4 linked regions of the Tamandua tetradactyla genome follow. The protein of the gene in region 2 purifies or fractionates together with the protein of the main gene of each other region. This does not show direct contact. Links are inferred from orthologs where the notes say so. Each region holds a gene or a part of one and is shown on either strand. Other genes may lie near its edges. The genes, in order: LRP6, AXIN1, HIPK2 and DVL3.

What was found.
Region 1: the proteins of AXIN1 (region 2) and LRP6 purify together in Homo sapiens (affinity purification with western blotting; 7 studies listed by BioGRID and IntAct, with this or other methods). This does not show direct contact. The link is inferred for Tamandua tetradactyla from reciprocal best matches to the Homo sapiens genes AXIN1 and LRP6.
Region 3: the proteins of AXIN1 (region 2) and HIPK2 purify together in Homo sapiens (affinity purification with western blotting; 3 studies listed by BioGRID). This does not show direct contact. The link is inferred for Tamandua tetradactyla from reciprocal best matches to the Homo sapiens genes AXIN1 and HIPK2.
Region 4: the proteins of AXIN1 (region 2) and DVL3 purify together in Homo sapiens (affinity purification with western blotting; 3 studies listed by BioGRID and IntAct, with this or other methods). This does not show direct contact. The link is inferred for Tamandua tetradactyla from reciprocal best matches to the Homo sapiens genes AXIN1 and DVL3.

What each region holds. Positions count from the first base shown.
Region 1 is NC_135333.1:74,708,871-74,716,872, forward strand, and holds the start of LRP6 (low-density lipoprotein receptor-related protein 6), read right to left. Parts: upstream 3,012-8,002; 5' UTR 2,700-3,011; coding exon 2,645-2,699; intron 2,547-2,644; exon of another isoform or gene 1,196-2,546; coding exon of another isoform or gene 1,180-1,195; intron 1-1,179. UniProt on the Homo sapiens protein: Component of the Wnt-Fzd-LRP5-LRP6 complex that triggers beta-catenin signaling through inducing aggregation of receptor-ligand complexes into ribosome-sized signalosomes.
Region 2 is NC_135349.1:56,967,864-56,975,081, reverse strand, and holds the start of AXIN1 (axin-1), read right to left. Parts: upstream 3,003-7,218; 5' UTR 2,915-3,002; intron 2,350-2,914; exon of another isoform or gene 1-2,349. UniProt on the Homo sapiens protein: Component of the beta-catenin destruction complex required for regulating CTNNB1 levels through phosphorylation and ubiquitination, and modulating Wnt-signaling.
Region 3 is NC_135327.1:183,030,874-183,038,532, forward strand, and holds the start of HIPK2 (homeodomain-interacting protein kinase 2), read right to left. Parts: upstream 3,004-7,659; 5' UTR 1,599-3,003; coding exon 1,523-1,598; intron 1-1,522.
Region 4 is NC_135336.1:2,424,899-2,432,105, reverse strand, and holds the start of DVL3 (segment polarity protein dishevelled homolog DVL-3), read right to left. Parts: upstream 3,012-7,207; 5' UTR 2,945-3,011; coding exon 2,784-2,944; intron 1-2,783. UniProt on the Homo sapiens protein: Involved in the signal transduction pathway mediated by multiple Wnt genes.

The sequences.
Region 1 (8,002 bases), on a different chromosome or scaffold from region 2:
AATCTAAATAAGTATGTACCTGGAAGGCACTAAGAAAATGGTAGGATGGCATCCTAGATTGTGAGCTCCTTTAGAGCAAGGACCATGGTCTGTTTCACTTAGACTATACCCACAGAGCCTGGCACATATATTTGGTATTCCATACACACTTGCTAAAAAGAATAAATAATACTTTTAGTAATACTACTCAAAGAATAATAGATCCATACTCTATCATTTATAGCTCTAGGATCTTAATCAAGTTATGATTTCTGAATCTGAGTTTCCTCACTTGTAAATGAGAAGATTATTCAACTTAAAACGCAGGATTTTAGGGTTGAAATTTCCAAATCTTTCCATTACACCTTGTCACCTGGTCATAAAAATATGGATGCAACCGTGATGAAGAACAGCATTATTCCTTGGCTTTCGCCTATTAAATTAACAGGGCTACAATACAAAAGGAACCCCAGACTCTCTCATACACAAGGACTCCCCCATCACTCTCACCCGCCTCATCTTCTCCACTGTTAAAACTACAATCTTCTGTGAAGAAAAATGACCTTAATGCAACGAATTAATCACATTTTTGTCCTTGCAGTCCAAGGTTGGCTAAGTATCACTATTGTAAAAGGATGATCCATTATGAAGGAATGAAGAGAATCTAAATTATGAACAAAAATGTTTTACATCAAAAGAAATTCAGTTCAAATAATATGCACTCAGTTAACTACCATTAAATTCAAAGACCACCTTATCCATTATTATGCTATAATTAAAATGAAAGATCCACTTTTGGAAACTTTTTTTACTACTGGAAATTAGGCAATCTAAACTATTACCCTTTCTAGGTCTGTTACATAATAACATATTTCAAAAACACATTACTTGAAGTACAACTTATCTAAAATCCAATAATGAACAAACCTAGTGTTTAAATAAACAAATGGCATTTTCATCACACCCTTACCCTACAAAAAATACAATGGGGCAACTAGAAGCATCCCTGGTTATGGATTTAGATTTCTCCAAGACTAAAAAAAAGCAGCTGGCTCTCATATTTGTAAACACTATTAACCTTCTATTTAAAATTATAATAATAATCATCTTGTGTCAAATATAACAGTTTCTCAGTCGTAAGAAAACCCCCTTTCAACACGAAGTACACTATAATAAAATAAACATACTTAATATACTCACATACATAACAGTGCATTAAAGTCTCTGCTTTGAAAATTAAATGACCACTATCCTACTGGGGTTATATATGGAAAGAATTTGGAATACACAGAGTCATAATTATTATTAAGCATAATATAACATTCCTTTACTTGTATAAAATACAAGTAAAGGAAAAATTCTTTCTCAGAAAAAAAAAGGTCAATCACTCATCCAAAATAAATACATACACACAGAAATGGTATATCTGCCACATTGACATCCATGAGATCATTAGTTACTATGGTGTTCTGGAAACCAATTAGTTTTTGAGGACTTTAAAAGTTTACTGGTTAAATTACAACTAAAAACCTCTCCATAAACTCAAGAGACCCCATATCTTTAAAGAACTGACCGTGAACACAAATAAGAATTCTAACAAAACCAAAGTACAAGCCAAAAGTGCTTTAATTCTTTTGCTAGTAAATGCTCAATAGCACCAGACTCATCACCTCTTCAACACTAGTAAGTCTGAGAAGAGCTGTCGCAAATCTTGTTGGCCAGTCAAAAATCTTCGTGGACTGTCACAAAATAAAAGTCACAGGGCGTATGTCAGCTCTGCAGGCCAATCCAAAATACCACAGCACCACCTAATTCAGTAATTCTTGGAGCAAAATAATCTAGAATAGCTTCTTTACCAAAGTGCCAAGCAGTCCCCAGAGGTATTTATTTAGCAAATGATAACTTAGGTCTCAGGACAGGTCCCTGCTTCACACAAGGATGACTTTCGTATTTACTGCCAACTGTACACTTGCATGCTCCGAAAATAGGGGCAAGCTCTGAATACCAGGGTGAATACCAGGGGTTAAAGGCAACGTTTCTATTTTATTATGGGCTGAAGCTCAGAAGACTCCGAATGCGAAAAGCTCGACCTATAGCCCTGGAGTCATTTTCAACTCTACTCTCACTCAGAATCATTATATGCCAAGCTGAAGCCAATTATTACTTGTAATATACCTGGAAAAATAGTAAGAGGGTTCTAAAAGTCCACCTAAAAGGCACGCAAAATGTGGAGGCTACGAGAAAGGCCAACATCGAAACACCTTAAGCTTCAACACTTTAAAAGCCAAAGATCTTCTCCCCTGATGACTCCAAGCATAAAGACGCACACTCTCAGTCATTCCATTAGAACCGGAGAAATGGGGCTCTAAGGTTCACTAAGACAAGCAGCCGGATCGAGGCTCAGATTTGGCTACATATGGTCGGGAAAGCCAGGCAGGAGTCTGCACTGTGGCCAGGCGTTCGCACAGCCCCTTCTCCAGGGCCCCTTTCTCTCCTTTTCTAAGACCAGGCCTCTTCACACTCCTCTTCTCCTTTTCCTCCCTCCGTCTCTCTTTCCCCTCCCCCCAGACACACACACACACACACACACACACACACACACACACACACACAAGGCCACGTACCCCTAAATCCCATCAACTCTCCCGCCCCCACCCCTTCCCACCTCTCAAGAGCACACAGAAACTGCAGGCCAGGAAGCTCCTCAGGACGGCCCCCATCTTCCCTTCTCGCGTTCTCTCCTCTCACCAGCGAGGGGCGACCAGAAGAGGGGGAGGCGAGGAGCCGGGGCGGCCGCCGCAGCGGCAGGACTGCACGCTCATGCTTCCCAGCTTTCCAGAGTGAGAAGAAAGGGGCACACGTCAAGGCTCCGCGCGCGCCGCCGCCGCTCTCCCTACCGCGCCGCTCTGCCCCGGGCTCGCGCGACGGCAGCGTCTGCTTCCATCCCGCCGCCGCCTCCCTAGGAGCCCCGCTTCCCCCGCGCAGCTCCTCATTTAGCCTCTTCCTCTCGCTCAGCGGCGCAGGGATACGGCCAGCCGTCCGCCGCCGTCTGGAATGCCGCGATCGTCTTCCTGCGCGCGGACGAATCCCCTTTCTCGGCACGCCCCCAGAGCAGTTATGCAAAGTAGGGGGGCGCGCGCACGGCTTCTGCTTGGAGACCTCGGTAGGCTTGCCGGGCGAGCAGGGGTGAGCTTACCGCGGGCCGCTGCCGAGTGGGGAAAGCCACGCGGCGGCGCATTCCGATGGGATTCTTTCCCAGGCTGGCTGCTGCGGCCCTTCCCGCGGAGGGCGTGAACGACGTCGAACAGCATTGGACACGGCGTGGTCGGGACTACTTTCTGCGGCTCGGCCGGGCCGCCGCCTGCCACGCTCTTTGTGCGGCGGCCGCCAGCAGAGCCAGGTGGGGTTTCGGCTACACTCCGGGCGACCTCTGGGTCGAGGAAGCGGCGGGCCGGGGACGATAGAGCCCAAGTCCACGCTCGACGATCCGCAGCTGATCCTGTCACGCGGAGATGAATGAGTTGTAACTTCGGCGTTGGAAATCAGTTTAGCAATTTTTTTTTTAGGAAGGTAGAAACTATAATGCTAGTTAAACGTGCATCTCTATGAAGGATGTTCAAACACCAGCCCAAAATTGAGCTCGAAAAGAGCTAAAGATCTGTGGACTGACAGGTAAAATTGCAAGATAAATGCGTTAGCACCTAAGACAGAGCAAAAGAACTATTCGACAAAACAGCCCTTGGGATTTTACAAGTTGCTTTTAATAATGAATATGCGGCATGCTTCGATCAATTCTCAACTTGGAGAGGAAAGGATTCCCCTCCAAATTCCAGACACTAACTGCACAGCCTCTTCTACGCAGGTGTACTGAGCATTCAGCAATAAAAGCCTAGACGTCCCCTGAAATCACGTAGCAGGTTTCAGTTGAGGGAGAAGCACCCTAAGAGTTAAGTGTAATGGAGCCATCAGGTGGATTCTACTGAGCTGTCACTCGCCCTTACCTCAGGGCATGTGGACCAGGGAGTGAAGCTACTCCGCAGTGTTACTAATATCTCAGTGATACTGGAGTTCACCAAGTGCTTGCACACACATTATCAGATTTGACACTCAAAACTACCCTGGGGTTGTTACTATTTATACTTACTACACAGAGAAGGAAAATGAGACCCTGAGGGCTTCAGTGACGGGTTACCCAAGACCCTTTACGTAGTAAATAACAGAACCTGAACCCAACCCGGATCTTCTGACTTCAGATACTGTACTCCTTCCAAGAAATGCACAGTAAACCAGTAGTACTGCACTTCTGAGAGCAGAAAAAGGGCAGAAACAGCCAAATTACTACTGCCTAAATTCACCTGAAAAAGTCTAGCCGCCGCTGATTTCAATTACTTTCTTCCAAGAACCATGTCCAGATCCTGTAGGTTTTGTATTCTGATCTCCTCAAAACAGATAACTGAGAGTAAATTTTTTCAGCAATAGGCTGAAGAGGAATGTGTAAAAGTGAAGACAGTGAGTGGGTAGAGACACCGTGTTGTTATAGGGGGAAATGAGCTTTGGAACCATAAACAGGTTAGGATCTAAATTCTATCAGTTATTAGTTATATGACCGTGGGCAAGACATTTAAATGCATTGCACCTCAGTTTTCTCATCTGTAAAATGGGTGGTGTGGATTAAATTGAATAATATATCAGTTGCTCAATATGTAATAGATGCTCAATAAATGACCATTTCCTTTCTGTCTCACCTCTAGCAAGGTGAAATGTGCCATAGTAATTTGCAAACTGGAGAAATAATGGAAGATAAAGAAATCATTACATACCTAGAATGTTTACTGCAGGGGTATTAATCAGAGGTAGAGAACTGTGAAGCTTATGTAAGTTAACCTTCAGAACCTCCAACTTTCACATATGCCTTCCAAAGCCTGAGAGGGGCCCTAACAATGTGTTCACATGGTCCTATTTGCAAAAGTAAACTAATTTTGTATTATTCTTTCTTAAAACAGCTCTTAAAATTGTGTAAGTTTCAAATACCACAAAACCTATATCTGCTCCTGTTTGTTATAGAAAACCAGGTACAACCTATGTCTCCAACAGTAGGGGAATGAGATGTTTATACAACCCCATGAAATGATAATTTGAAGGACTGTGAAACCGTGTTGGAAAATGTTCACAATTGAACTTTTAAAAAAGTGCATGTACTTTTAATTACAGCCATATGATATGTATCATCATATATATATAATCTAATATCACCTTTGTGGGCAAAGACTAAAAGTAAATACAATAAGCACTAGTATAGTGAAATAATTTGAAATTTACTTTTCTAAGTTTCCTTTAATTTTTGTTTCCTTACTATACTTTTTTAAAGCGAAAATCTGTACTTTAAGCTTAAGCCCTGCAAGGATGATATTCTTTTTACATAACTAATTTGTTTTTCTCATTCATTCAATAAATAATCATTAAGTGCCTACTAAATGCCCATCACTGCTTTTTGTAGGTGCCAGGGATGTAAAGATAAGAGAAATCATTGTCCCTACCCTCAGGAAGCTTACAACCTGGTCTGGAAATACTATTTAATAAAGTAAATGATTAATAATTAATATTACATATTAATATTAATATAATTAATATCAACAAGGAACACAGGTGCAGAAGCACTTAGTTCTGCCTGGACAATTCAAAGAAGGCGAAATAACCCTAGAACTGAGGCTTGAAATGTAAGTGGGCGCGTACCAAGCCAACAAGACTAACAAGGAATTCCAAGCAGAAGGATAGCAGGTGCAAAGGCACTGAATTGTTTAGAAGCCTAGGTATGTTGGGGATTTGCAAGTAGATCTATATAGCTGAAGCAATGGTTGCTTTTACATAATGTTGGAAAATGAGCAAGACTATTAAATAGGCATTGGATAATAAAGGACTTTTTAAGCCATGCTAAAAAATGTAGACTTTTGCCTTGTTGATAACATGGACAGTGAAGAATTTTGCACATGGTACATGATAGAGAATTGATTTGCATTTTAAATAATTTATCTGGCTGCAGGGTGGAAAATAAAAGGGCATTAAAGCAAGAAGTAGAAAGACCATGAGGAAGTTATTTTAGAAGTCTATGAAAGGGATGAACAGGACAGTAGCACTAGGAATTGAAAAGAGATGATGGATTTGAGCAACAGGAGATTAAAACAGCAGGACTTGGTAACCTGTTAGATGTGGATAAAGAGATAGAAAGAAAAGTGGTGGGAGAGAGAGCAAGAGAGAGAAGGAAAAATAGTGCAATAGCTTAGGATGGTTTTCCAGATTTCAAAGTTAAACACCTGACTGAAAAGGAGTCTCTTTTGCCAAGAAAAGAAATATATAAGGAGCATTTCAAGAGGGGGTGGGTAAATTAAACAAGTGTCTCTTATATTAGAAGTATCTCTAAAATATTTTAAAGGTAAAAGATAGAGATGTCCAGTAGACAGTTTTGACACATAATTTCAGACTCAGGAGAAGAATGGAAACATGACCATCAGTGATGGTTGTGCAGCTTGTGCACTGCACAATCCAGGGGACATAGTGTAGACTGGAATAATTATTACCATAATTTTCTGGGAGGTAGCAGTAATACTTCTTTAGGAAATGGAACCTTTTTCTAATTCAGGTGAAGTCACCTTTCAGGTGAACAGTGGGCTGAGGGTAGAGATTATAGTTGAAACCATGAATTTATCTAAAGAGAATATTGTGTGTAACTAACAAAGTGGAACAGAGCAGAACCACAGGGTCCATAAGGATCTAGGGGCAAGCAGAAGAAGAGAAGTTAGGGAAAGAGACCAAAAAGAGGCAAGAGGAAAATGTTGAAAAGTGTTGCCACAAAAGGATTGGACAATGTGACAGATAGAGCATGCTGTGAAGTCAGCTAAGGAAGCACCAAAAGAGGCCATTGTGACTTATAATTTCTCAAAAGGTCATTGATGGGACCATACATTATACCAACAACTTAGGAAAGCAATCTGACAGTAAAATATACATATCCTTTAAGTAAGAACCTCACTTGTTGGAATTTATCCACAGAAACAGAAATTTATAAAGATATGTATACAAGGATATTCGTTACAATCTTGTGATAGAAAACAATGAAAAAATGAGCCCACAAAAAAAAAGCTGAATTTTATATCGTTCAACCTAGTAGAAAGAACTTAAATACCTTTCAAGAAGTAAATTAACAAGAGCATATTCTTATTCTGAAATACTTTGCAGCTTTTAAAAAGAATTAGAGCTTCATGTATTGCCTTGGAAGTATAGCCATGATACATTGTTAATGGAAAAAGCAAACTACAGAATTGTATCCATAGTAGTGGCAATTTTTGTTAAGAAGAAAAGAAGGAATTAAGAGAGGGAGAGAGAAGGAGAGAAATCCTATACTGGGGCATACATATCTGTTTTGGATTTGGATAAACAAAGCAAAAATTATGGATGATAACCATGAAATTGTTAAGATTGGATGCAGGAGAATGTGCTTAAAGGATAAAAGGAGGCAATTCTACTTCAGATACTTAACTATTTCAACTAGTATGGAGGAGGGTATTACTTTTTATTTTTTTTAATTCAAATTGCTGTTGTTTTTAATCACTAATAAACTTAGAGTGAACGAAATAAAGTCATTGGTGACTGTACCCAGAGCAGTTTCAGCAGAGTTATGAGAGCCAAATCAAAACAGCAGTGAATTGAAAAAAGAATGGGAAACAGGGAGGGAGGACAGTGGCTTTTTCAGAGTTTTGTGATTGAAGGAAAGAGAATAATTGGGGTGGTTGGAAAGGAATTAGGCGTGGAGTAATTTGGGGTGGTCTTGGTTAGGGTTGATTGGTTACTTTGTTTTTAAGTTTAAAAGAACATAATCATATTAATAATGCAAAGTGACTAATCCAGTAAAGAGGAGGAAAAAATGAATTGGAGACTTCCCAGAGGCTCTGGAGCACTGAAGGATGGATTTGCCTTGGAAGGAAGGAGGATTAGCACCTCTGCTCAAGAAGAGTGTAGTTTTCAGAGA
Region 2 (7,218 bases):
GCGGGCTCTGGCCGCAATCCCCTCGCGACCCAGCGGGCCATGAGGGTGCCCCTTCGGAACGCCATCTCTGGAAACTCTCCGGCTCACAGCCCGCCTGCAGGGAGACGCACACACCCGGCCCCGCAGCCCGCAGGCACCCCTCAGCCGCAGAGCAGGAGGGCAAGGCAGCTCCTCTCCCCTGCAGGACCCCACACACTGCAGCACCCAGCCTGTGCTCCAAGGGGCTGCCACACCCAGACCCTCTGGGCGCCACACTCTCCTTCCAAAAAACTGCAAGTTTTCCAGCACACCCCCCGCCCCCACCAACAACCTGCAACCAGGGCAAGCTGTGTGGGCCCTAGCTCAGCGCATGTCCATAACAGCTAGCCAGGAGGCCACCCCAGCCCCGGCCTCACGGGTGCTTCGTTCAGAAGACAGGCTGAGGGCACTGTGGGCTACCCTCTTCCGGTAAGGAGAACACCCTTCCCACAGCGGGTGGAAGGAGGGTACTTCAAGGGGCAAGGATGGTAAGCCAGAGCCCCCTCAGGGGCCGTGGCAGCTGCTACGAGCCCACCCTGGGCCACTCCGCGAGGCGTGCTGCGAGGAGCGCAGGGCCCGCTGAGCAACAAGACCACACTGCCAAGGCTGCAGAGGGCCCACAGGGCACTTCTGCAGCTAAAGAGTTCTTAGGAAAACGCCCCGGGGAGCAGCCAGAACAGCCTGCTACCTAAGGTCGAGGCCCGGGAGCCAGGCACCTGCGGCTCACAGGCCACTTTGGCTGCAAAGCCGCTTTCTTTCAGCCCCATTCATGCCAAGGGAGCACCTCTGTGCCCGCAGCTCTGCCCCAGCTTGTCATGCTGTATGTCCTCTCGTCCAGGGTGCCATCTCGGGAAAGAGGGTCTCATTCCTGACCACCTGTGCTCACCCGTGGAGAGAGCCTACAGCTCACAGCCTCACAGGAGGAGCGAGACACTGGATCACCAGGGTGACTCCCCTACAGCCTCTGTCACATGTGTCCACGCAGCCACCTGCAGCAGCTCTGATTTACATGTTTCCTGCAGGACACACAGCACTTACAAGGTCCTGCAACTAACCAGCACCGACAAATACATACGGACATAAAGGAAAAAGAAAGTTGTCACATTCTCCCCACGCCAGCGCCTCACAGGTGCTGAGCGGCTGTTACAGACACGGCAGCAAACCTGAACTCTGACCCCTTATTAGCAAACTGCAGCTTTCAAGACTAACCTTTCAATTCATGTGTGAACCCAGTCCAACCTGGCCATCCTGGGTTAGTTTTCTAGCACAAAAGAACCACTTCTTATGGGCCCACCTGTTCCCAGCCTTGGCACCCGGTGAGCCAAGGCGCTGAGGACTCGGCTCTGCCCTGGGCCCTGCTCTGCACACACACAACAGTTCCCTCAGTCCAGGTCAGAGCTGCCAGCAAGCACCACGCCGGCCCCCAGCCAGGACCACCACCGATAGAGCGTTTCCATGAAAGGGACCTAAGAGGCTGCTTCTTTTTGCCACTACCTGGGCATACCCCAGCCCCCACGTGGCCCACCCCAAGAGCAACCACACAAGCATATCTGTGGACGGATGTGGTTACATCTTTTACTTAAACATAACTTCCGAATTTTTTAATTACATGGAAAGTGAAAGAAACGGTATGCCATAACTTCCGAATTTTTGAATTACGTGGAAAGTGAAAGAAACGGTATGCAATTCTGACAATTTTCCTACTGTCCATTAATTCAACTCTTGAAGAGTCAGGGCTATTGTCTGAAATGCAACCCACTCCCCACTAGCTGGATTCTCAAGAACCAACTTAAATCAAGAAAGTCACTTAGCTTTTCTAAAATTCTACATCCAAGAAAGTCACCTTGTATTTCAAATGTATTCCCACCCCTGTCCCTGGAGAGACTTTTCTAAAATCAAACTCGAGCTTCTGCTGGCTATTTCTGTGATCCAGTTCAGAGCAAAGACCCAAGTACACCTGAGAACCAAAGTGTGAACAAAAAGGGGCCCATGTGCACAATACAGACCTTTACAACTGCCTCAGAGTGGGGCTGAGAAAAGCACCTGAAGGGTAACATCTCTGTTATCCTCAACGACAAGCTAAAAGTTTTACTACCTTACCTGCTGCTTCCTTTCATCAGGGGTGTTAAGCTGCAAAGTGTGGGTTGCAGGTAAAAATCTTAAGACTCATTACCCAGGAGGAACACCTGGTTTTTTGGTGGCAAGGTATCATCCTGAGGGGTAAGGGAAGCCAACCACAGCATCCTGCACAGAGAGGGGGTGCCCTCCATGAGTGCACACAGCTCTTCCTGTTTTTTTGGGGGGGGTGCAAGGCGGCGGCAGGATCCCTGCAGACCATCCAGCCCGGGCAGCTACTGTGCACCCACTCACCCGCTGAAAGCTGCCCCCCGCCAGGGTCCGCGGCACCCACCCACACCCGGCCCCACGCACGGAGCAGAACCCTGCGTCTTCCTCACTTCCTTTCGCACCCCTAGGCCCAGAACCCGCCCAGACTCTTCCCCGTCCGCACACCCCAAGTCATGGGGCCTTGCCCCTATTCCCCGCCAGTGTCCGACTCCCAAAGCGCGACACCCTCACGCCGCCCCCCGCGACCTCCGCGCTCCCTCGGCCCCCCCCTGCTGCCCCGCCCCCCGCTCACAGCAGTCTGGCGGCCCCCCGGGAACCCGCGCGCCCTGGCCGCGCACACTCCCGGCCCCACCGCGCACCCCGGGCCCCGGACACCCTCGCCTCCCCGCGCACCCAGGAGCCGCGCACTCCGGCCCCCACGCCCCCGTCCCGCCCCCGCCCCCGCACGCCCTTAGCCCCTCTTCCGGGTGCCGCCCCCGGCCAGGCCTCGCGCGGCCTACAATGGGCGCCCGCCGCCCTGCGCGCCCTCTGGCCCGGCCGCGCTACTCACCCGCACGGCGGCGGCGGCGACTGGGCACCCGGCCCGGCTCCCGAAGCGGCGCGGCCCATGCGCTCAGCGGCAGCGGGACGGGCGGGACGGCGCGGGGGCGCGGCCGGGGGCGGCCCCCATCGCCACGGCCTCGGCGCGGGCCCGGGGGAGGCGCTGGGCGCCGCCGAGGCCGACCGCCCCGCTCACCGGGCCTCTGCGCGGTGGCTGCGGCTCGGGTCCGATGGCACGGGGTCGGCGGCGGCAGCGGCAGCGGCGGCGGCAGCGGTCGGTTCCGGAGCCGGAGCCCGGAGCGCCGAAGCCAGGCCCGAGCGCCCCCGCCGGCGCCGCCCGGAAGTGCGGGGGCGGGGCCCGGGGTTCAGGGGCGGGTCGGAGAGCGTGAGGGCGGGCCGGAAGCGTAGGGGCGGGGCCAGAGCGTAGGACTGGGGTCAGAGCGCATGGGGGGCCGGGGTTGAGGGCGTGGCCGGGAGCGTGGGGGCGGGACCGAGAGCGTGGGGCGGGGCCGCAGCCAGGAGCCAAATGGCTGCAGGCGCGGAGGCGTGGACCCGCGGGGCGGGGCGGGGCTGCGCTGCGCAGGCGGGGTCCCGGGACTGCCCGGGGAGAAGCGCTGGTTTCGCCTCGGTGTCCGGGGTGGGTGGCGCAGAGGAGACGACGCTGGGGAGAGCCCTGAAGGGCCGCCGACGGCCCCACCGCCCACCTTCGCCCAGCCGGCCAGGACCCGAGCAGCCCCCAGGCATCCGGGAAATGCTCAGGACCCTTGGCCGGAGCTGCAGCTTGCAGAGGGCTGAGGTCCGGGGTGGCGGAGGGGCTGTCCTCCTGCCTCTAGGTCTCCCCAGCACCATCCAGGGTGCAGCCTCGGGCTCCCTGAGGGCGAGGACCTCGGGGGTTCCGGCCTGGCACCCACCCCTCTCTCCCAGCACCGTCTTGGTCTGCGGTCGGCGCCTAGAAGCATGGCCGGCCATCGCTGTGCTGGCCACCTGCCCACCACAGGCCCCGGAGGTCTGGCAGCCACCCAGGAGTAGCTTTGGCCCACGGGACGCGGTCAGCTCCAGGGCCGCCCCACAACAAGGATGTGGCAGCAGAAATTGCAACCTCCATGCCCCCAAAGTCACATCTCCTCCCCTCCAGTGATTCGGTGAGGGCCTTTGCCCTGTACTGGATGTACCAAAAGCCCCCCGGGGCCAGCTCTACCCCCAGTTCAAGTGAGGAGGCTGCGGCCCACGGTCAGGGCCTTGCTCACCTCCTGTGGCCTGGGGCACCCTGCATTTCTGCACCCCCAGCCGCCAGGCCCTCCTGTCCTCTACCCCCTGTGGCTGGTCACTTGCCATCCACCATGATTCCACCCCGCTGCCACACTGACACCCCCGACCACCCTTTCCCGCCACTGCTATGGCCTCTCTGGACCCTTCCCGCACTGACTGGGGCAGAGCAGAAGTCCCAGCCCAGCGCGCGCTGGGCCAGCAGCCAACCTCGGCCGGCAGCACCCCAACCCCAGTGACGCCGCGAGAGGGAGGACAGGCCCTGGGAGAGTGTCCCCAGGCCTCCACATGGCAGGGGCATGTGGACACCAGCCACAGACAGGGCAGGCAGCGCCTTGTGTCCCACGGTCCCAGGGGAGACTGAGATGGTGTCCTCCATGGCACCGTGGGTTCCACGGGTGAAGGAAACTTGGAAGGGCTGAGCCGATGGTGCCCTCAAGGGTGCCTACCCCCACGCGTCCGGCGCTTGCCTTGGCTCTGCAGAGCCGCTGCTGCGGCCAGACCAGGCTCGCAGGGTTGCATCCACGTCTGTCTTCCCGCTGGCCCACGGCGGCGGGTGTTCCCAAGGCCTGGGGCCAGGACGCGGCCCTCGGGCTTCCTGCTCCTCGGGCCTGCCAGCCTGCAGGGACAGGAAAGGGGTCAGAGAGCCCGGGAGCAGCGCAGGGCCCTGTGGGCGGATAGCAGGGGGGCAGGGGGCCCCCCACTAGGGGTCTGGCCAGAGGGGCCCTGGCAGGGGCAGCAGGGGCTGGTCAGCCTCAGCACGTGGGCTGCTCTCCACAGGGGCGAGTCCCCTCTCAATTTGGGGGTCTTTAGGATCAAACAGCCCAGTGCAGGGAGCAGGACCCAGGCACCCGAGGCCCAGCGTGGACAGCTGGTGAGTGTGAAGACATCAGCGCAGGATCTCCAAGAATGAAATGAAAACCGGGAGGGCAGGAACCAGAGCTCTACGTCAGCTGGGGCTTAGGGGAGTGGGGGAGCCCTCTGCCCCTGGATGGGTGCCCTGCTCCTCTCTCCGTGCCTGGCTGCCACACCAGAGGCTCAGCCCAGGTTCCGTCTATCTGTCCCCCATCCGCGGTCCCAGGGCTTCTCCCTTTAGGTCTCATGTTTACCCCCCAGAGGCCCAGGTGCTAGGGAGACGGGCCTGAGCCCCCGCCATGCCTGCCTGGCTCTTCTCCTGTCGGAAGGAATCGTCGAGGCCTGGGGTGGGTACCAGCTACCCCCCAACAGCCTCGATGCGTGCGGGTGAAGGTGGGGACTGCAGGAGGTGCTGCCCAGAACCGGGGTCCCCTCAGCAAAGTGGGGCGCCCCCACGAGCCTCAGACACTGCACAGGGTCGCAGGGGGACGTGGGGCCCCCGACTCGACTTCCCCAAGAAAGCCGGCGTCCCCAGGGCACTGCCACCACTCACCGGGCCCGCCACGCTCGGAGCTGCCCCCCCTCCCCCCTCCCCGCCTTTGTTGCTGCCAGAATCCGTCGTGGCAAACAAAAGTGCGGGGATTAGCTACAGGCATTAAATGACCTGCTCCTCCGAGGTCACCTTGCGACCCGACCGTCGCCCGACGGAGGCTTTGAGCCCCGCCGCCCCGGCCGCGCGCACACGCGTGCACACGCACACGCGCACACGTGCACCCTCTTTGATCTCCGAGGGGCTCCGTTCACCAGCCCTGGACAGCGTGCTGCCCCTGCCCCTGCCGCAGCCCGCTGTCCTTGGACGCCCGGGTAATGGGATTTGGCGTTTCTGATCCATCTCCCCCGTTAGGATGGGCGGTCCTTCTCCCCTTCTTTCTCTGTCCTCTTCCTTTTTGAAAAATGCTTCGTGGGAAACTGCTCTTTCAGCCACGCCGCCTTTGCACGGGACAGCGGGCCAGGGCGCGGTGCTGGGAGAGGGGCCAGCCAGTCGGGGGTCTTTGATGCCGCCCTCGTGACATCTGATGTGAAAGGCCCGGGAGGGTGATTTTCGGACCGGGGCGCGGTGGGGCTTGTCCGCCTCGCGCCGCCTTCTTTGTTTCCCTGCCCGGGAACCTTGCTAGGACATGGGGACAGGGCCCAGGGTGGGTGTGCGCAGGTGGGTGGACATGGCAGGCGGGCCAGCCAGGGGCAGGACCACGCCGTGGCCACAGTGGGCAGCGCGTCCACCTGTCTGTGCATCCGTCTGTCCACCCGCCCGCCCGGCTTACCTCACCTGCCTGGCTCCGCGCGCCGGCCCGCGGCCCGCCCTCCCGCTGTCCGCCATGACGGGCCTGGCCGTGTCCGAGCACTGGCAGCCAGTCCGGGCAGCAGGTCCCGCTCGGCCACTGTGGGGCTGGGAGGGACGCGTGACTCGAGGCTGCAGCTCGGGCTCCCGCCGCCGATTGGCTGAGGCGGGACCAGATGACGGCCTCGGAACCCTATGGTAGCCATGGCAACCAGCCCCCCAGCCCCTCCCGACTGCCGAGGGAGCAGGTGGGTGGCCGGTGGGCCCACACTGGGGTCCCCTCCGAGGGTCGAGTAGGGCGTGGCTGGACGGTGCAGCTCCTGCCCATTGCAGGGCACGAGTGTGAGTGAGGGGTCCCCGTCCAGCCCTCCTGGGCACCTGCTCCAGGCACTGCCCGGCCCCCAGGATGGCCCTGCTAGAGCAGGGCTTCAGGTCCGGCTTGCCCCAGCGGCTGAGGTCAGGCCCCATCTGGAAAGAAGCAAATGTGGGGAGAAGTGTAGGGAGGAACCCCGGTGGGCACAGCCACCGCCACAGCCATACCGGGGCCCTGCGCCTGGGCCTCCCCTACCCCACCAGACCCTGGGGCTGCGGCCACATTGCCGCACGGGGCCTGCAACTGCAGCTGCCCTCCGCCGCCTGGGGGCTGTCTGCCTGGGCCGCCTACCCCTGTCCGGAGAGCAGGGCTTCTCAACTAGGCATGGTGCGTCCCCACTGCACCCCCTGTGATGCCGGGAAGGGCCGGAGGCCACGCCTGTCGAGTGGACCAAGGGAAGACGAGCCTTTGGACGGGGGGCAGGGGTGGGCCTCCGGCCCCGAGGGGGGTGAGTAGCTGCTAGGGAGGCCGGGCCCCTGGC
Region 3 (7,659 bases), on a different chromosome or scaffold from region 2:
AATCTAAAAGCAACGGAACCAGGGAGCAAAGGAATAGCAGCTACCTTCCCATGTGTCAGAGGGATCCCAGATGCCATCACTCTTTCTTCAGTGAAAGTATCTTGCTGATGCCTTAATTTGGACATTTCCATGGCCTTAGAATTATAACTTGTACCTAATAAATCCCCATTGAAAAAGCCAATCCATTTCTGCTATATTGCAGCAGCTCTAGTGAACTGAAACAGCAGTCATCCCCAATGAATCTGTATTGAGGTTCAAGGTAGTTATAAAGATTGCAAACTATATATCAGATAAGGGTTAAATATCCAGAATATAAAGTACTTAAAGAATTTTTACAACAAAAAAGACAAACAATACAATTTAAAAACAGGCAAATGACTTGAACAGACATTTTTCCAAAGGATATATAAACGGTTAATGGTACATGAAAGATGCTCAACATCATTAGCCATTAGGGAAATGCAAACCAAAACCATAATAAGATACCACTGCACACCTATAAGGATGGTTATGTTTAAAAATGGAAAATAAGTGTTGGAAAGGATGGCATGAAAGTGGAATGCTAGTGCTTTACTGGTGGGAATGTAAAAATGGAAAGTCACTGTGGAAAGCAATTAGCGCTTTCTCAAAAAGTGAAGTACAGAATTACCATGTGACCTGGCAATTCCACTCCTAGATCTCTACCCAATGTATATGAAAACAGGGTCTCAAACAGATACTTGTAGACCGATGTTCATAACAGCATTATCTGCAATGCCAACAGGTAGAAACAATTCAAGTGTTTGGATAAACACCAAGCTTATCCAAAATTTGGAAAAAATCCAATCCAAGTGAATGGGTAAACAAAATTTGGTACATACACAAAATGGAGTATTATTTGGCCAAAAAATGAATGATGTTCTGACATGCTATATATGGATGAACCCTGAAAACAATAAACTGAGTAAAATAAGCAAGGCATATAAAAGACAAGTATTTAATGATGTCACTTATGTGAGATATTTAGAAACAGCAAATTTGCAGAGAAAGTAGATTTGAAGTGGCCAAGGAATGGGGGGAGGGAACAGGTGGAGTTTTTGCTTAATGGGTATAAAGCATTTGTAAATAAAAATTAATAAGTGTAATATTTTGATGCTTGGCATGCTTCAAAACACAGCACCAAAAAAAAAGGAAAAAGAAAGAAGAAACCAGAGCACACATTTCTAAAGACAACTTAAAAAATTCTAACATAGTTCAATCCCTATCTTTCACACTTTAACATCATTGCCATGCTTTGTGAAAATGTTTCCTGGAGTTGATGTGTAAAATGAAGGCCCTGGACCTCACAATTATCAGTGATTTCAAATGTGTACAAACAAATCACGATATATTAACTTTTCTGAATAAGTAGAAGGCATAGGACTATCAATCACAAATGTTTCATTTGGTTTGGAAACTTTGAGAAGATGACTTTCTGGTGAATAAAAGATGCGAAGATACTCTTTAAATTGACCACGGGTGTTTGGCACCTCTAAATACTCACTTAAGTGCCCTACTGGGAGAAAAAAGTGACTTTTCAAAGCATACTCCACCCCTCCAGTTGCATTCCTGTGTTCCATGATGCAATGGTTATGTTCTTGATAAAGAATATTCAGGTTTTGACATCATAATAACCATGCATATCACTCATGGGACGTTCACAAGCTTGGCAAGGCACATTTTGTACCCTGTTTATCACTGAAGTCACCAATGGGTTTAAAAATAGCATTGCATATACACTCAGGGAACCACTGATTCATTAATGGGCAAGCAAACACTATTCTGGGTCCCTTATTTACATGGGATTTTAGATTGAGGTTCCTAGAATTGAAGCACAAGCATCTGTCAAGTGCATAACACCCCTACTTCTCTAGTAGGGGTGTTACGTGGTACCGAGGCTAATTTATGAATATAGATTTGTAGTCCTAAAAGAAGAAATCCTCAAAAATTACAGAATCCAGCATTTCAAATGCCATCTTATTTGTGACTCCAAAATGCTTGACTTAAGAGGTAATAAACAAGAATATTGATAAACTTGGGAACTATATTAAACATAGCAAAATAAAGAGGGATGGTATTATAATGAAAAGTGGTGTTGGTCTTAGTGAAGCCTATAAATAAGAGGCTGAAATTTTTCACTGTTAAGAGCGAAGGAGGGTATTCGATTCTAGGTGCCTGATTTATGTTCTTTAGAGAAAAATATCTCTTAGAGCAGACAATGCTTTCTTAATTTACAGATACCCTTAAAAGTACATAGTGCATTTTGTTCAAGTTTTTTGCTCAAAATCTGTGCTTCTGATCTCCTACTAGGACCCCAGAAAGAACATTCTGACTTAGGGGAAATGCCCTTGTATGTGGATACCTAGACTCTCTGAGATCTACAATTCTCTCTCTCTCTCTAAACAATTCAGGCTAGGGAACAGATAAGATCAATTTTTATTTAAGATTCCCAGAGGTCCTGGGGTAGTATACTCATACAATACAAAGCACAATACAGAAATAAGAGAGCAAAACCTATAACCTCAAGATGGGTTTCTGGAACCAGCCAAGACCTGAAATCTAGAGGACCCAGCCTCTCTAGACCATCAGATAGTTCCATCTCCCTACCCCATATTAGTGACAGTCCCTTCCAACATGAAAAATTTAGAATGGCCATAGCCCATACACCCATAAAGAAAAGGATGGAAAGATCAAAGGTGATAGTGGAGTTATCAGAAAAGATAGGATTTAACAAGTGAATATGATTGTTGAATCATTAAATTGATATCTTTTAGTCTCCAGTATCTTAGAGCAGCTAGAAGTAAAAACTTAAAATTATGGAATTGTAACCCATGTCAAACTCTGAAATATTTTCTACAACAAATTGTGGTGCTGTGCTTTGAAATATATTGCTTTTTTGTATATATGTTATTTTTCACAAAAAAGAAAAAAATAAGTTGATTGCAATGATAAAAAAAAAAAATATTTAAAAAGGTGCCGGCCATGGAGGCTCAGCAGGCAGAATTCTCACCTGCCATGCTGGAGACCCGGGCTCGATTCCCAGGTCCAGTGCTCCATGCAAAAAAAAAAAAAAAAAAAAAAAAAAGGAAAAAATATTTATACTAAACTAGGCTCCTACATTCTGGAGTAGCTAGAAGGAAAAATCTGAGAGGATCATATGGTAGTGTATGACGAACTCTGGGATCTATCCTGTGACTACCTGTTGAAGAGTGCTTTGAAAACAATTGCTTTTTTATTTCTTTGCTTTTTATATATGTTATACTATACAATAAAAAAGTTAAAAAAGAACAGAACTCAACCAAAGGGAACCCAAGGAAGAATGAAAATGTCTAACTACAGCCAAGTCTCCTGGAGAGGAAAGAGTGACACATGAGTTTGAAAAGGTGTGCTGGAGTTGGGGTGTAAAAGGCTCTTTAGTGCCAGATCTCAGTTTTATCCTGTAGGTACTGTGGAACAGCAGGGTATGTTTGAGAGGGGAGGAGGGGATTAGTCTATTTGCAGAATGGAAAATGGGCTAAAGTGACAAAAGACTGGAGGCTGTGACTCTACCACGGACCAGCTGACTCAGACGTACATCTGTAAAGTGGTAAGAACCTGAATGAAGAAAACTGGTGTCCTTGGGAAAATACATAAAGGCCATGTACAGCAGACACTTGATAGAATTGGGCAACTGACAGGGGTGAAAGAGAGGGCAAAGAAAAGAATCCAAGACTGAGTGGAAGCAGTGGGCATGGGTGACTAGGAGGAGAAAGCTGGTGCTGTGCTCCACACAGAAAGGAAACAGGCCAGGCATGGTGGGCAGTGGCCCCACTGACCTGAACAGGGAGCTTGCGTGGCAGCCGCTCTTCTGCAGACAGTGGACAGCACACACTCCTGCCAAAGATCCCCTCCAGCCCCAATTCTCAGTGAACATCTTTCCAAGGATTGAGCTGATCTAAAACTAAGTCAGCTCATAGACTGGCTCTGTGAGCTCCTGTCTTGTGATGATACCCTCTAGTCGAAGCTGGGATTACAAGATCAGATATTATAAAAACTTAACTCAGTAGAGGAATCCCTGGGCTGGGGGTGGTAGAGTAAAGGAGGACCTATCCTCTGTAGAAAGACGTGGGTCAATCAAAACAATTTAGTCAATTAGGATCCCTCCGGTAACACTTGGGATATGAATGGAGAATGTGATAATTTTCGTTTTCCTTCTGATGGCTGGATGCAGCTCAAGCAAGCTCTGCGCTTCTTTCACCAGCATCTAATACACTCAGTTTACTTCCTCCAAATGAGCCTAGCAGACGCAGCACAGAAAGTCCTCTCTATATCAGTTCTCAAACGGTGGTGAAGGGCAGAAACTCCATCCTGTCTTGACCCACACAGCTCTCAGCTGCTCGCCTTTATGATTCTGACCCTGCCAGCCAAGCCCATTCCATTCGTTTTTAGTTAAGCATAAAATGAAGCTATCAGCTCCATTTCCACTGTCTCTGCATGAGTCCATTTTTCTTTTCTTTCTTGGCGCAAACTATATGGCTCATATAGGATTCCTACTGAGTCCTTCTGTAACTCTTCCCTTGCTAAATATTCTTCAATTCCAAGAACTGCTGAATCAAAACAAAAGGTGGGAGAAGGTATGAGAATAAATTCTAAGGGGCAGATGGAAATATAAGAAAGGATGAAAGAATAAGCCTGTTGATTTTTTTTGTTTCCTACCTTTTACTCCCACAAATGCTGAGAATGACTAGAGGGGAAGAAAACCCCTATGCAAGTGAAGTCAGCAACCCAGAGGTCTGTTTTCCTGAACACATGCTATAAGGGTACAGTTCTCTGATGATAAAGTCCCATTAAATCACCAGGAATTCCCTGGAAGATAAACTCTAACACCAGTTAGTTCAAAAGTAGAAGCCACTGTCAACGTACTCACACCTGTGCCCCCACCCCTTCCACTGCTTCACAGAAACCATGGTTGAAAATCACCAGGGCCCTGCACACCTGGCCTCCAGTTAGGGCAGGGTGCTTCTCTGTGCACCACTGGTACTGGGTCACAAGAAGCCACTAAGAGCTACAGGATCACGATTCAGCCATAAAACAGACAACAAATGAGGAGCAGCATAAGCTTTAGTTCCAAGCTACAATTTGGGAAAAGTTATCAGAAAAAAGAAAAAAAGTGCTGTTGGTGGGGAGGCCAATTTCCTTTTACACAAAGGAAATCCTTCTTGCTGATTTAAGAGCAGGGCCAGACCTGTTCAGAGACCAACGGTCAGTACCGAAGGAGACAGAGGAAGCTATACCTTGAGTTATCAAACCAGTGACAAAGACACTAAAACAACTCTGAGCCATGGAAATGCAATCTGGGCACCAGGCCCCAGACCTAATCCATGTGCACATGAGTTAGAAAAAAGATTCAAGTATGTAGGCAGAAGGGTCATATAATAAAGCAACACCTTCAACTCAAGAAATAAACAAAGCCTTAATTCCATATACTCTTCCTAACATAAACCAAGCAGAGGTAAGCTCACAAAGAAGAGAGGAGACCTACATTCAAAAAGGAATGAGATCCTCCCCCTACATGGGACATGACTCCTAGAGGTATAAATCTCCCTGGCAACATGGCACAGAATTCCTGGGATGAGCTGGGGCCTGGCATCATGGGACTGAGAAAGCCTTCTTGACCAAAATGGGGAAGAGAGAATGAGACAAAATAAAGTTTCAGTGGCTGAGAGATTTCAGAGTCAAGAGGTTACCTTATGTATTATATAGATATCCTCTTTTAATTTAGGGTGTATTAGAGTGGCTGGATGGAAGTACCTGAAACTGTTGAGCTGTGTTCCAGTAGCCTTGATTTTTGAAGACAACTGTATAACAGTATGACTTTTACAATATGATCATGTAATTGTGAAAATCTTGTGTCTGACGCTCCTTTTATCCAGGGTATGGACAGATGAGGAAAAAATATGGATTAAAAATAAATAAATAATAGGGGGGATAAGTGGTAAAATAAATTGGGTAGATTGAAATACTATCTAGATTGTAATTGGGTAGACTGAACACAGGTCAATGAGAAGGAGGGACAGGTGGTATGGGGTGTATGAGTTTTTTTTTTTTTCCTTTTTATTTCTTTTTCTGGGGTCATGCAAATGTTCTAAAAATGATCATGCTGGTGAATACACAACTATGTGATGATATTGTGAGCTACTGATTGTACAACATGCCTGGAATGTATGTGTGTGCAGATTTCTCAATAAAAATATTTTTTAAAAAAAGGAATGACAACATCATTGGGTCAACTGACAACACTGGAATACAAACTGTGAGTTAGATAAAAGTACTGTATCAGTGTTAAATTCTCTAATTTGACTATTACACTGTGTTTACATAAGAGAACACCTTAGTCTCAGGAAATACACAGGTATTTAGGGTACAGCGTCACTTTCCAATAGACCTCTGTGATCCATGCCATCCAAAACAGTGGCTATTGAACACTTGAAAATGACACTAGTATAACTGAGGAACTGAACTTAATATTAATTTAAATAGCTACTTCCAGTGGTCATCAAAATGGGCAGCACAAGAATAAAAAAGCATAGTGCTTATAATTTACCCTCGGTTCATTCACAAAAAAACATGCAGGCAAATGAAATAAACCAAATGAAGTAAAAAGATAAGACGTGAATCTGGGTACAGGGATTTGGAGATACTCTTTGTCTTATTTTTATTTTTGCAACTTTTCAGGAAGTTTGAAATTATTTCCAAATAAAATGTTTCAAAAAACGGACGAGGATGAACCTTTATTCATTAATCATTGAAACCTACAGGATGTACCTTGAATTTGTAAGTAAGAAGTTAGAACTAAGATTTAAAGACATTCTAAAATATGGAAAAAACATCCCACAGAGCACACACATGCCTCCGAAAGCCCAGCTCTTTCAAACCCACCTCTTCGTGCAGGATCAACCCTTAGCCTGTCCTAATATGTACCTTTCCACCTCTTTTCAGTTGCCCCCTAGCCTACATATGTCCAAAAAGGACTTGACTGCAACAGCAAGTTCAGGGAAGCTTTAAATATATATACATATATATCAGCTTTGTTGAGATGGAATTCACATGCCATAAAAGTCATCTTTTTTAAAGTGGACAATTCAGTGGCTTTTAGTACATTCAGAGTTGTTAACCATCACGGCTATCTAATGCTAAAACATTCTTATCACTCCAAAAATAAATCCCATAGCCACCAGCAATCATTCCTCCTGTTCCCTCCCCAACCCCTGTCAACCATTAATCTACTTATCATTTCTATGAATTTGTCTGTTCTCAACATTTCATATAAACGGAATCACAATATTTGTCCTTTCGTGTCTGGCTTCTTTCACTAAGCATAATGTTTTCAAGGTTCATCCATGTTGTAGCATATATTAATACTTCATTTCTTTTTATTGCCAAATGATATTCCACTGTATGGATATGCCACTTTTGTTTATCCATTCATCAGCTGATGTACATTCCAACTGTTCCCAATTCTTGTCTATTATATGCAATGCTTCTATGAACGTGGATACAAGTTTCTGTGTGGACATATGTTTTCATTTCTCATGTATATATACCTTGGAGTGGAACTGCTGGGTCATGCAGTAACTCTATGCTTAACCTTTTGAGGAACTA
Region 4 (7,207 bases), on a different chromosome or scaffold from region 2:
GGTTATGGTCCAGTACATACTTCATGTAAGAACACTGCAAGTGGGAAGAGCAGTCAAAGCAGCAGATTTGTTCATTGGACAGAGATCTGTTGAGTGTTATTTATGTATCTGATCCTAACTAGCAGCTGGGTAGGGCTGTAAGGATAAATAGGATAAAGTGCCAGAAGAGTTCTCATGGAAATGTTCAACCAGAAGGACAGGGAGACAGGTGAAGAGTATTCCAGGCAGAAGGCCCAGAGTTAGGAAAGTGTGTGAAATGCAGGAGGAAGCAACACAGTTAAGTGACCTCACTCCCTATGCTGCCCCCTCATGCTGCTCAAAGCGAGGTTCAAAGGGGGTACCTTGTTCTTCCATCCACTGTCAACCTAGGGCTGAAAAACGTTTATCCTTCCTCCATTTTTCAAATAACTTAAGAATGCTGCTCCTACCCTGAGCCTGACAAATACTTCTGGAACCCAGATGAGACTTGGGGAGCTCTGATGCCTCACAAATCAAGCTCTAGGGGTAAACCTTGCACACAGATGTTGAGGCTGGAGAGCGGCAGCCTTTCTCCTCTGACCGGCTTTCCCATCTGCCAGCAGGTCCCTGGCCTCTGCTCACTTCCTCTCACGGGGCTTGGGTACATGACAGTTTTACCACTTCTACAGTTTACCAAGACACAACATCTCCCACAGAGAGAATATGCTTCTACCACTGGATGGGTAAGGATAGACTTCGGGAAGCATATGCCTTGGGGACTCTAGAGCCAGATGTGTGCCCTTGGGCAAATTACTTAAGTTTTCTGTGCTCTAGTTTCCTGATCTGTAAACTGGGAATACCACTTCCTATTTCACAGGACTGTTATAAGGATTAAATGCACGAAGATTTGAAAAGGATTTAGATCAGTGCCTGACACTCTGTAAGCACCATAAAAGGGTTTGTTAAATAAATGGAATTATATACATATGTTCCTCAGCTATTAGTTGTTGGTATTGTTTTGTTTACTTTGCTTTTGGTGACAAGTTAGCCCTACCAGGTCTCCTGCTTATTTATCATTCTGGTGATAAAAACAAACTCAATTTCCTCCAGTTTGTTTTTAGCATTATTTTCAACCCTGTTAAAATGTCCTAGTCTGATAGTTTGCAAAGGGTATCACTGATGTATACAAGATGATTTTAGGTGGTACCTGAATGAACATTGCTTAGTTCAATAGTTAAATATATATTTAATGTATTTTAACTATGCTAGCCCCTCAGCCCGTCTGGCCGGACCCAGGGTGGCCCTACCATACTGGTTGGTTTTCCCACATCCCAAATTACAAGGTGTTATCAGTTTCTTCTAGACCTTTTCTTCCCATGCCATGCCAGACCATCCACCCTTCCCTCACCCCACCTTTTCCAGATCAATCTCTCTTTCGAATCATCCAATCAGGGGTGTCTGTCTCTGGACTGAAGCCAGAGATTCATCACCAGACCAGGAGTATCCACTCCTGGGTAAAAACAACAACTGAAACAAGAACAGTTCGAATCACCATAGCACTTCCTCTGTACCAAGCACTTTTGCACACATGATTTCATGGGCTTTTCAAGTCCTGAGTTCCAGGGTAGAAAGTGATAGCAAAACACGCCAAGCAGAAGATAGAAGGTGCATGATTCTTGGCGCCAGGAGGCTGAGGCTCTGGGAAAGAAGCTAGACTGATGACCACTGGGGAAAAGAATGTCTTCCTCCACTCAGTTCTGGGGCCTCAGCTGCAGGGCACAGAGCAGGCCTCAGGCCAGGGCTGGAAAGCGCCCTTCAGGCCCCACGGCCAGGGGTGGGGGTGGGGGAGGTTTCCCCCGTGGGCCTCTGGGCTCAACACTGGATTCTCAGCCTGGCTGGTGCTGGGGGCCTCCCCCTCCCCCCTCATCCCTTGGGAGTTGGGGAGGTGGGGGTGAGAGGATCCACCAGGCTCTCCTTCCAAGGCCAGCTGCTACAGAACCTTCTGGCTCCAGCATTCCATCCCTTCTTAAAGGGGAAGTGGCTGCTTCCAAACTCCGCCTGTCCAAAGCCTTGCAGCTGGGCGGATGGGAAGACCCCGCTAAGGAGGGGAAGATGGAGAACACAAGAGATTCCTCCTGACCCTCCCATCCAGACTCTGAGGCCCTTCCCAAGGTCTCCTTCTCAGCCACCATCTGGAGGAAACAGGCCCCAATTCTGAGGGGAGACCAGCACCTGGGTTAGTAAGGAGTCCTCCACAGGGGTCAGGTGCTCCAATCCCTTGACAACATCCCGAAAATTCCAAAGGGAGAGGAGAGACAGCTAAATAAACATCAGTTCTGCAGGCCCCAGCATACAGCCCGGCGCCGGAGCCCTTTCCCCATCCCCATCCCCCAGTTCAGAGCCCCCAGGAGAGAGCCCTTAGATGTGGGATCCTCCAAATATGGCTCTGAGTCGTGGAGCTCAAAAGATGGAGAGGGGAAAGGCTGAGTGCCAAACACCTCAAGTCTACGCTAAAAGGTGGCTCACCTGGCAGGAGGCGAGCTTTGGGACTGGGTGGAGGGACGTGTGTCTGTCTGTCCCTCTGAGGACGTGCGGGTGCTGCCTAGGAGGAACTCTGACTGCTCCTGGAGAGCTGGACATCCCCCTAACGAGGGTGCCCAAAGTGGGAAGGATCCCACCACAGGAGGTGACAGGGGAGCCCGAGGGGGCTGTGACTCCAATCTACGAAAAAGCCAAGGCGGCCCAGATGGGCTGGTCTGCGCCCAGAAGCCCCTAAAAACCTGAGGCGCTGGGGTCGGCAGGAGGCGGGGCGGGGCCTTCCTCACCCGAAGTCGTCATCCATAGACTTGAAGAAGAACTTATAGCTGGGTCGTTGCAGGACGCCCTTAAAGTCCGCCAGGGTGACGCGTTCGGCGGGCAGCGGCAGCTTCACCAGGTACGGCGTCTCCTGCCCGTCTAGGTGGTAGATGATTTTGGTCTCGCCCATGGCTCCGGCCTCGGGCCCGGCGGCCCGTGTGCGGCCTGCTCGGGCGGCCGGGCCGGGCTCTCGGGCAAAGGCGGCGCTCGGCGCGGCCAGGGGCTCAGCCCAGCTGCGCGGCCGGCCGCGGCGCCAGCTCCCTTGTTCTCCGGCCGCCCCCGGGTCCCAGCGCCGCCCGCCGCCGCCGCTTCCGCTCCCCGCTCTCCAGCTCCGCGGGCGACCGAGACTCTTCCGGTGGCCGCGGCCCTCTCGGCACTGGGCTGCGGCCGGCCCGCTCCCCTCCCCCGTCCCCGGCGCCGCCCCGCCCCGGCGCAGCCACACCCCCGGCGGCCGCCGAGCAGCGCTGGCCCCGCGGCCGAAGGCCCGGCCTGGGCCCGGGCCCCGCAGATCCCGCAGCGGCGCTCCACACCTTGGCTCTGGTCCGGGGCCCACAAGGAGCGTGACTGGGCTCGCCCCGGCCCACGGAGATGAAAGGGAGATTCGGCCAGGATGGAGATTCTGTCTCTGGACCCAAGTGGGATCCATGCCTCCTTAACATTCAGGGAGGGGTGGAAAGCAGGGGTCGCTTTGGTCCCCAGAGATGATCTGGGGGAAGGGGGCTTAGTCTATGAATCCCTGGAGGAAAGGAACAACTTGGCATTTTAGGATTTGTTGAGAAGCACGGGTGCTGTCACTGAGCCCACCAAATCCAGCTTGAGGGCTGCACAGTTCTGATTTCTCCTGATTACCTCAGTTGACCTAGCAAGGATCAGGTGCATAGTGGTGGTTTAATAAGTAGATTGAACGATAAATGAGTTGATACATGCATGATTGGGACAGTTAAGTCTTAAATCAGAACTAGATATAACTGTTCCCTAACAGATCTCTTCACCCTTAGCTTTTTTCTTTTATTATTTTTTTCACCCCTAGCTTTTAATTCGTTTAATAAATATTGAGTGCCTATTATGTGCAAGGCAATGGTACTATGCATGAGATATAGCAGTAACCAGGACACATAAGGGTGCCCTCAGGACCTCCAAAGACACTCACAGGCTTGTAAATAACTTTGGAGAATGATAAATACTACCAAGATAAAATGGAGTTATGATTGTGACAGGGGAAAGAAGAATATTCAGGATGGGTTGATCAGAGAAGACCTCTTCCATTTGAACTAAAACCTAACTGATGAGAAGGAAAAGCTATCAGATCTGGGGAAAGAGGGCACAGCTAATTATAAAGGCTCAGGAAAGGAAAAAGCGTGCTAAATCTGAGGAACAGGAAGAATGCCATTGTGACGGGAGGAACCGTGGTAGATGAGGCTGGAAAGATAGGCAGGGGACAGATCGCATAGGGCCTTTTAGGCCACAGTAACAAGTGCAAGCTATCCTACTCTGTTTTGTACAGTTGGCAAAATAGCATTTAAAGAGTAAGCACCTCTTTCAGATCTGCTCAGAAACCTCCTCACATTCCCCAACAATTTCCAAGTATTAACATGCTATTCTAGGTTCTCCATAATTTGACCTCCAGATTATGGACCTTATCTTATTTTTCTTTTTAGGAGATGCACTAGTCAAAATATAAATATCTTTATAGCCTTTGCCTATCTCCTCAACCTTTTAACTCCCCTGGCCAATGCACTTGCTAGCCCCTGCATACAACCTTGTATATTTCCACTTCATTCCGTTCCCTTTACTCTCTTTAATTTTCAAATTTTACCAAAGAAATATGTATGCAGATAATATTAAGAAACTTTTTAACAACAAAAACAGCAGTCCCCTGTCCCATTACCATCTTCACCCCCCGAATTATCACTTTTTTTACTACCATAATTTCTTGATATATGTATTCTAAACATTGCCTATTGATTTCCAATTCTGATTTATTATGACTTAGCTCTTCCACCTTGCTCTATTATCTTAGTATGATGAAATCACACTTTTTGGTTGTCAATGTAGTACTTTGTATTGACATTATTTCTTTATGATTGTCTACTGCCAAGTCATGTGTGCTCCATGATTATACTCCCTTACCAACTTTTCATTCTCCTGGCATTATTGCTTTGCTATTTCATTTACTTTAAAAATATACTGTACCCATCACATTAAATAACCCATGCATCCATTTTCCCCTGGAGTCTTCCATCCTCTCTCGCTCTAGTGTATACTGCTGGCTGTTTTAGTCTACTGCACAGTTGTCACCCTGGGACTTTTCTGCATCACCCTCGGAATCCCTTTTACCTCTTCCATGTTGGTTCTGTTTCCTGGATACTTTACTCCTTTGATTTCATAAACCACATCCTTTAGTAGCTTTCTTTGAGGGGAATCATGGGAAATTTTTTTGAGAACTTCCCTATTTGAAAATATGTGATTTTGAGTTAAAAATAATTTTCCTTCAGAAGTCTGAAGGCATCATTCCATTGTCTTCTGGTAGTGTTGTTATTGAGCAGTTTGATTCCTTTATTTTCCCTAAGTCTTTGTAAACAAATTGTTTTTATTCATTCTCGAAGCCATTAGGAAGTTCACTTTATCCCTGGGATTTTGAAATTTCATGCATGATATGCTTTGGTAAGGATGTTTTCACTGTACTACTTACTAGTTGACACTTTGTATCCAGAAATTCAACAACTGTATTCAGTTGACCCTTTGTATCTAGAAATTCAACAATTCCTTGAATTGTTTAATAGCATCCTTGCTATTATTTTTTCCTGTTATTTTTCTGCAACTTCTGTTAGTCTAATTTTGGACCTTCTTGATTGATCCTTTAATTTTCTCATTTTTTCCCCTTTATCTTGCATTTTTAAAAAATGATTTCAGCTTTTTTTGCATTCCTCTAACACTATTTACATCACAGATCAGAGTTACCTTATAGCTACTTGTATTTAACTGCTCCTAATAGATCCATGCCATAACCATCTTCATGCTCTTTGGATACTAGGTCCTGTGAGAAACTGAGAAACTGAGATTTCCTGAACCAGAAAAGTAAATCAAGCCAACTCTGGTCAACCTGTTTGTTTCCTTTAGAAATACCCAATGTCTTTATGCCCCTCAAGTGGAGGCAACACTCCACCAACTGGACTGAAGGCAACCGTTTTATCTGTGATGCCCGGGAGAGCATGTGCCACAGCTTAAGTATCAAGTTGAGGGTTACAAAAAGGCAACAAACAGCTCAAAAAGAGGAGATAGAGGGCATGTTCTCAAGGTTGAGGTTAAGGGAAACAATAAAATGAGTTGACTAAACTGGAGTCCAACACCACATCCTGGCTCTCTCAGTCACTAGTTATGGGACCTCAGAATAGTTAACTTCTCTGAGCTCCAGACTCATCTGAAAATGGGTTAAAACCAACTTTTGTAGGGCTAATGTGAGGGTTAATTAAAATAATGCATGAAAAATATTTAGTAAAATGCCTTTCATTTGGTAACCAAGTGAAACTCATTATTAGGGAAACTCTGCTTTATAGGGCCTTCATGTGGTCTTCAGGATATCCATTGCCAGCTTGGGGTTATATTTGCCTCTGGGAGCAATTTCTCCTTTACTGAGACATTGTGCTGAGCAAAAAGAACACTGTATTATGAGTGCCAAATCCTTAGCTTTAACACCCAAGCGGCATGCAACCATAAGCAGATTTCCTTATTTTTAGGATGGAGAGTGGCCCAGCTTCCCTGACAGGACTAGTGGAGAAGTAGAGACCACTGGATCAAGTGGAGAAGGCATGTGAGAGACACTGGCAAGTAGTAATAGGCATTCTATAAGCTTGGCATCATCACTCAGAACAAAATACTAAATTTGACAGAACAGTGTCATAGACATAGGCTCAGCAACTTTCCCAGGTCCACGAATTGATCCACGGTGGCTGGAAAAGAATCTAGTTCCTATGCTACCTATGAGCCATAGATTAGTCAATTAGCCAGGCACTACAGTACCACCTAGTGGCCATAATAGCCCTCTGCTCTCTCTCCCCCAGGTGTTAGGGAAACACTGCCATGTCAGAGGTTCAGAATTCTCTGTTGGCATACTTCAAAGGCTGGTCAGTTAAGAACTGGACAGAAACCAATACACCTCTCTCTCTCTCTCTCTTTTAATTATTAACAAATACAAGCAGCAGAGAGGCTAGCTGCTTTCTGTTGTTCCCTGAAGAAAAGCCAGAGCACAAAGTTGTTCCTTTGGCCTTCCTCCAGCTGTGGGGCCTGCTAAGCTCCTTCCTAAGCAGAAGCTTTGTTCCATCCCATTTTTCCTCATTCCAACTCCTCAGTCAGGATGGGAGCACATGGTTGCTGGCGGTGTGAAGAATACTGT